Linked DNA regions of Saccharomyces cerevisiae S288C. The protein of the gene in region 1 interacts with the protein of each later gene in a biochemical or structural test. Each region holds a gene or a part of one and is shown on either strand. Other genes may lie near its edges.

Region 1 (3,757 bases):
TGATACGAATCATTTCGCCGTTGTGTGTTTTAAGAAGAAAAATGTTAATGTTAGCAAGACGAAATCACACGTATAAATAAATATAGCAGCACGACCAGCTTGGAAGTTCAAAAAAAAAAAAAAAGTGAAGATAGACAATCATAGGCACAATTTCTGATGGTAGTGAACATATAATGGGCAGACCAAGCTCTAGCAACTTAATGCAGAGAAAGATTTGAAGCTACCGCCGCGTGTTCAGCGTGACTCTCTATAATAGGCCATTTATGTACAAGATCTTCTGCAATCCTATCAAGTATTCGTACTACTATTTTCCCTGCCAATTAGACGTGATGAAAAATATTGCTGGGCTTTGGTTTGAAAACGACTATTTAAATAAATATTACCTTTCCTTTTCTTCAATTGTTTCTCATCTCCTTCGGCCTCCGTTAAGTATATGTTTTTTTACGCGTTGTCAATGACAATACCGCAGGATGCGAATGTGTGACTTCGTAATCATCGGTGTGAAAAATACTCTAACTTTAAACAAAGGTAACATCTAAACTGTCTGGAAATATGCAGCTATTCCCATGTATACACACTAGAAAGAACAGTATTTCCCAGGTCCCAGAAGTTCTCTGTATATGTAGTCCTACCCGTAATTTACCCTTTGAAGAGATAATCTGAGCACTCAGATTTCGACCCTGATGGGGTCACTTTTCTGAATCATTGCTGACATTGCTTCTGAAAAGTGTTGCCTGTGTCTTTATTCCACTTATGAGTTGGTAAGCTTCCTCACAATTTATAATGGGTTCCGATAGCTAAATCACGTTTAACGAAGATTTCGCCGCCCCTCTAAATCGGTGGCAAAAATAAGAAAGTAAGTGGTAATAGTGGCGGTAGAGGGTTTATTTGGTAGTGCAGTTGTAAAGCTTTCAAACACATTCGAGCGTCGCATCATCAAATTAACAAAAGCATAACTCTTCAGCAATGACATCAATTGGTACTGGTTACGATCTTTCCAATAGTGTTTTTTCCCCCGATGGTAGAAATTTCCAAGTAGAGTATGCCGTCAAAGCAGTCGAAAACGGTACCACATCAATCGGTATAAAGTGTAACGACGGTGTAGTCTTTGCAGTGGAAAAGCTCATTACGTCTAAACTGCTGGTCCCACAAAAAAATGTCAAGATTCAAGTCGTAGACCGTCACATCGGTTGCGTTTATTCAGGTTTGATTCCTGATGGTAGGCACCTGGTTAATCGTGGTCGTGAAGAAGCCGCCAGCTTCAAAAAGCTGTATAAAACGCCCATTCCCATTCCTGCATTTGCAGACCGTTTAGGACAATATGTGCAGGCGCACACTTTATACAACAGTGTTAGACCGTTCGGGGTCAGTACCATCTTTGGTGGTGTAGATAAAAATGGTGCTCATCTTTACATGTTGGAACCAAGTGGCTCTTATTGGGGCTACAAGGGGGCTGCCACTGGGAAAGGTAGGCAATCTGCGAAGGCTGAATTGGAAAAATTAGTTGACCATCATCCAGAAGGTCTTTCAGCAAGAGAGGCCGTTAAACAAGCTGCAAAGATTATCTATTTGGCACACGAGGATAACAAGGAAAAGGATTTTGAATTGGAAATAAGTTGGTGTTCACTGTCGGAAACGAATGGTCTGCACAAGTTCGTTAAGGGCGATCTGCTACAGGAAGCTATCGATTTTGCCCAAAAAGAAATTAACGGCGATGATGACGAGGACGAAGATGACAGTGATAACGTCATGTCCAGTGATGATGAAAATGCTCCAGTGGCTACGAATGCAAACGCTACCACTGACCAAGAGGGTGATATTCACCTAGAATAGGTGACATTCTGATAATACGTTAAGAAGAACCAAAGAGTTGAAATAATATGAACTCACGTGTAACGCCGCGAAACAAAAAATACATTTTAGTACCTTCCATTACATTTTACGTAACTAGATAAACTTCTCATTGTGCACCATCTTATCATTATTACTTGATCGCCTAATACTTTTATTCTTCTGACACCTATTACCCTCCTTTCCATATTTTGGATAGCGGGAAACTAATGAAAAATTTTCTTCCACGCACATTGAAAAATATTTACGAATTATATTTCAATAACATCTCAGTACATAGTATAGTATCTCGCAACACACAGCTCAAAAGGTCAAAGATAATTCAAATGACTACCGAGACTTTCGAAGACATTAAGCTAGAGGACATCCCTGTTGACGACATTGATTTTTCCGACCTGGAAGAACAATACAAGGTCACTGAAGAATTCAATTTCGATCAGTACATCGTCGTTAATGGTGCCCCAGTCATCCCATCCGCCAAAGTTCCTGTTTTGAAAAAGGCTTTGACTTCTTTGTTTTCCAAAGCTGGTAAAGTTGTTAACATGGAATTTCCAATTGATGAAGCCACTGGTAAGACGAAAGGTTTTCTCTTCGTGGAATGTGGCTCAATGAACGATGCTAAAAAAATTATCAAGAGTTTCCACGGTAAAAGACTGGATTTAAAACATCGTTTGTTTCTTTATACTATGAAAGATGTTGAAAGATATAATTCTGACGACTTTGACACCGAATTCAGGGAGCCTGATATGCCTACATTCGTTCCATCTAGTTCCTTAAAATCCTGGTTAATGGACGACAAAGTGAGAGATCAGTTTGTATTACAAGATGACGTGAAGACTAGTGTGTTCTGGAACTCTATGTTCAATGAAGAAGATTCTTTGGTGGAATCTAGAGAGAACTGGTCTACCAATTATGTTAGATTCTCCCCAAAGGGTACCTATTTGTTTTCTTACCATCAACAGGGTGTAACTGCATGGGGTGGTCCAAACTTCGATCGTTTGAGAAGATTCTATCATCCAGATGTAAGAAACTCTTCCGTCTCTCCGAATGAAAAGTACCTGGTCACTTTCTCCACGGAACCAATCATTGTAGAAGAAGATAACGAATTCTCTCCATTTACCAAGAAAAATGAGGGTCATCAATTATGCATCTGGGACATTGCTTCTGGTCTGTTGATGGCAACTTTCCCAGTGATAAAGAGCCCATATCTGAAATGGCCTTTAGTTAGATGGTCTTATAATGATAAATATTGTGCTCGTATGGTTGGAGACAGTTTAATAGTTCACGATGCTACTAAAAACTTCATGCCATTAGAAGCTAAGGCTTTGAAGCCTTCTGGTATTAGAGATTTCTCATTTGCTCCAGAAGGTGTTAAATTACAACCATTCAGAAACGGTGACGAGCCTTCTGTTTTATTGGCTTATTGGACTCCTGAGACTAATAATTCCGCTTGTACTGCTACCATTGCTGAAGTTCCTCGCGGTAGAGTGCTAAAAACCGTTAACTTAGTTCAAGTCTCCAACGTAACTCTGCACTGGCAAAACCAAGCTGAGTTCCTGTGCTTCAATGTCGAACGTCACACAAAGTCTGGTAAGACTCAATTCAGTAATCTACAAATTTGTAGGTTGACTGAAAGAGATATACCAGTTGAAAAGGTTGAATTGAAAGATAGTGTCTTTGAATTCGGTTGGGAACCCCACGGAAATAGATTTGTTACAATTTCTGTTCATGAAGTAGCTGATATGAATTATGCTATCCCAGCAAATACAATCAGATTTTACGCTCCAGAAACTAAAGAAAAGACTGACGTAATTAAAAGATGGAGCTTGGTCAAAGAAATTCCAAAAACTTTTGCCAACACTGTTTCTTGGTCTCCAGCGGGTAGATTTGTGGTTGTAGGTGCTTT
Region 2 (3,757 bases), on another chromosome or scaffold:
TGTATGAAGCATTGTTGAAACTGTCAACATCGTGTAGGACATTGGATAATTCAAGCAACTTGTTGTGGATGTAAGAATTGCGGATAATAACAGGATCAGATTCTTCTTCCTTTTCTTCACCGTCTTCAGTTTCTTGTGGCCCAAGAGCTTCGTCAGTTTCCTCCTTTTCTTCTTGGACTTCTGGCTCTGTGTTTTCTTCTTCAGAGACTTCTTTAGAAGCAGTTGATGCGAAAATGTCAAATGGATCTTTAGCGAATGTAACCTTAGCAGATTCATGATCGATGGTAATTGAAACATAATCTTCCACAGCAGCTTGTAACAGCGATTTTTCGATGTCCCAAGCAGATAAGTCTAACGGAGCAGGTAGGGTAGCGAGCTTGTATAATTCGGACTGGGAGACAGTAGTGAATTTTTGAGAGGCAGCAACAAAAACCCTTCTCATAATGACGTCTCTTAAAGGTGCGATGTATTGGCTGAAGTAGGTTTTAGAAGACAATTTGACTAATAAATTTTCCAGCTGTTGTTTCACTGTGTCGACATCAAAGTTAACTTCAATGATATCGTACAATTCTTTCAATTCCTCGTCAACTTTACCATAAATGGATTCGTCTTCAATAATGGATTGCAACATTTCCTTTCTAGTTGGCTTGGCGTCCAAGTTTAATAAACGGTACATACGTAAATGAGGATCGTAGCCAATAGATGGAATTTCGTCTAGTTGGGTAGAAATAGCGGATAGGAAAATTGTAGAAGAATATGTTTTGAATTCTTCTTCCGTGGCTCTTGGATTGGTAGAATATAACTTATAAAACTTCTTCCAGGCAGTAGTGTGCAACAATGGATCACCGGAAACAAAGAAGACCTTTACGAGATTCTCGTAGTAATTAGCCAAAGTAGATGGTTTAGGAGCACGTTTGGATATTTTCATTAAGTGGAAAACATCCTCAATGGATCTATAAGCCTCGTGCCACAATTCCAACTTGACAGAAACATCGACTTGTTGGAAACGTTGATCTAAATAACGTTGCAAGGTATCAGCATCGCTCAAGTCAACTAAATTGTTTCCTGATTTACTTTGTTGGTAGTTAGCAGCATCTAAATGTTGACGTAACATTTCAGCTAATCTCTTGAATTCGTTTTTACGCTGATACTTCAAACAGAAATGCATAGTTTTTTTAACGACACCAGAATAAGTAATTTCCAACAAAGCGTTGTTTCTCAATAAATCTAAGACTGCACGATATGATTCCCAAGTAAATCTTAACCATGAAGTAATGGCTTCATCATTGAAACCAGCCACAGATTGATCTGACTCGTAAACAGAAATCAGCAAATTTTCTGGGGTAACACCACCTTCCAAATCATCATCGATTTCTTGCTTTTGAAGTTCGTCAGCTCTAGTTTGTTCAGAAGCGATTTTAGATTCGACTAAATCAATGAATTTACGTGCAACGGCACCGACAGAAACCAAACCTTCGGTAGATCCTTGAATTAATTTTTTGTACTGGTGCAAACCGTCTTTTAGCAGCTTACCTTTCTTTAGTTCAACACCAATTTCCAAGAATTTAAACACGACTGGCTCAACAGTTGAAGGTGTAGCCCAACGGATTCTTCTGGCAGTTATGAAATCATGCAAAGATTGTAAAGCAGCTTGTTTTTCGCCAACAGAAATAAGTTCATCGGCTCTCTTAATGGCATTTTCAGGACGGAATGGTGGGGGGGCCATCTTGATGTTTCCTGGGCGTTTGTATGGTTTATTTTGGAACTCTCTCTATAGTTGTAAGTATATCTACTTTCGATTTAGTTCACCAAGAAAAATTTTTCACCTGGCAAAGCTTCTCGGGCAAAGCGACTGAAAAATTATCATCTTTACCCGGTGGGTGATAATTATGACAGGCAGATTCCAATGACAGAATAAAAGGAAAGGATGCCTTGGTTTTGATAATTTTATAAAATTTATCACTAAAATATATACCATAGAGGAAAGAACTTGTTCACTAGATCCTTTCTGATTGGAAGGGATAAAGAATAAAAATACAAGGACATGAAAAATTTGAAATAATTATGCGGATTGGGTCATCAACTCAACAAGCTCGTTCACGGGATCTTCATCGTGCCTTGCGGTTTCAATGTTGGTCAAGGTCTTTTTAATACCGACATTGAAGTTAGGACAGCTCCTTGATAATTCATTAATAACTTTAACTCTACCAGCATCGTCAAGAAAGTTTGATTCTATCATGACGTTGTTCAATTCATCTAAATTGGTCATATTTGGAACTGCTATCTCATTGTCGAAGCAACTCAAGATATCCATTTGTTGAAGTACCGAATAAGCTGATGTAGTAGTCATGATCAATAAACGACGGTCTTGTGGGGGTTTACGCTTCAATGCAACCTTTAGCATTTGTAAAATGTTATTAGAGAATCTTGGACCAATTGGTACCCAATCAACTAGAGTCTCTAACGAATCAATAACAAGAATGTTTAGTGGAGATTTATACGCATCTCTGAAAGTGTTATCAATATAGGCAATTTTTGCGCTTTCTGACATGCCTGACAACTCGTTGGGAGAAATTAACCTGATGAATGGGAATCCAGATTTTAAAGCAATTTCAGCGGCTAAAGCTGTTTTACCGGACCCTGCAGGGCCGTGGATTAATAGAGATACTAACCTGGATTTATCACTCTCGCGAACTTGGCGGACGTAACGGGCTCCGTTCTTCAATATTGAGTTAACTCGTTCGGAATAAAGCATCATTCCACCTTCCACACATGTTTTCAAATCTTCTTCACTAATCCCAAAAGCGGGAGTAACATCGTTGAGTGCATTTAAAAAGTCTTCTCTTGTTACTTTAAGTTTTGCTATATCTTTAGTGTTAAGTTTTGTGGCACCTTTCCCGATGTTGACGGTTTTGTTGATTGCAAAAGAACTTGCACTCTTCACTAAACCCTCAATCTCAGCACCAGAGAAGTTTTTTGTTAACGCAGCTAACTCAGCTAAGTTAACATCGTCGCTCATCATATTATTTTCCCTCATTTTCTTCGTCTGAATGTCGAAAATTTGGAGTCTTCCTTTTTCATCGGGTAAATGAATTTCAACTTGGACTTCAAATCTACCTGGACGCAAAAGAGCACTGTCTATTAAATCTTTACGATTGGTCATACCAATAACCAAAATATTATTCAATTGATCAACACCATCCATTTTAGCTAACAATTGATTAACTACATTGTCCCCTACACCGGTACCATCACCTCTTGAACCTCTCTGCTTGAAAACAGAATCCAGCTCATCGAAAATAATAATATGTAAGGAAGATTCCTCACCCTTGGCCCTATATTCTGCTTCTGCATCCTTAAATAAATTACGAATGTTTTCTTCTGAAGAACCAACGTACTTACTCAAAATTTCTGGACCATTGACGATTTTGGGCTCTTTGGCATTCAGCATTGTACCAATCTTTCTTGCAATTAAGGTCTTACCAGTACCTGGAGGACCGTACAATAGCAAACCTTTAACATGAGAAATACCCAGTTTTTCTATAACTGAAGGAGGAAAGATTCGACTTGCAAACGCTCTTCTGAAAATTTTAGTAAACTCTTTATCCAAACCACCGACACCCAAATCTTCAAACTTGAAATCCGGTCTGATCACAGCATTTGATCTTGGTCTTAATGAATTTGATGATTTCAAATTAACTAAACCATCTCTTCCTTTGAAAAAATTAATTTGTGTTTGTTTTGTCAAAATTCCCTT

The links. Proteins that work in one complex are often made in the same cells at the same time.
Region 2: the proteins of PRT1 (region 1) and RPG1 form a complex in vitro, tested with the Saccharomyces cerevisiae proteins (4 studies listed by BioGRID).

The regions. Positions count from the first base shown.
Region 1 is NC_001147.6:1,015,956-1,019,712, reverse strand, and holds the start of PRT1 (translation initiation factor eIF3 core subunit b), read left to right. Parts: upstream 1-2,060; coding exon 2,061-3,757. Other genes in the region: PRE10 (proteasome core particle subunit alpha 7), read left to right, coding at 967-1,833. UniProt on the Saccharomyces cerevisiae protein: RNA-binding component of the eukaryotic translation initiation factor 3 (eIF-3) complex, which is involved in protein synthesis of a specialized repertoire of mRNAs and, together with other initiation factors, stimulates binding of mRNA and methionyl-tRNAi to the 40S ribosome.
Region 2 is NC_001134.8:396,552-400,308, forward strand, and holds the start of RPG1 (translation initiation factor eIF3 core subunit a), read right to left. Parts: upstream 1,727-3,757; coding exon 1-1,726. Other genes in the region: AAA family ATPase SEC18, read right to left, coding at 2,063-3,757.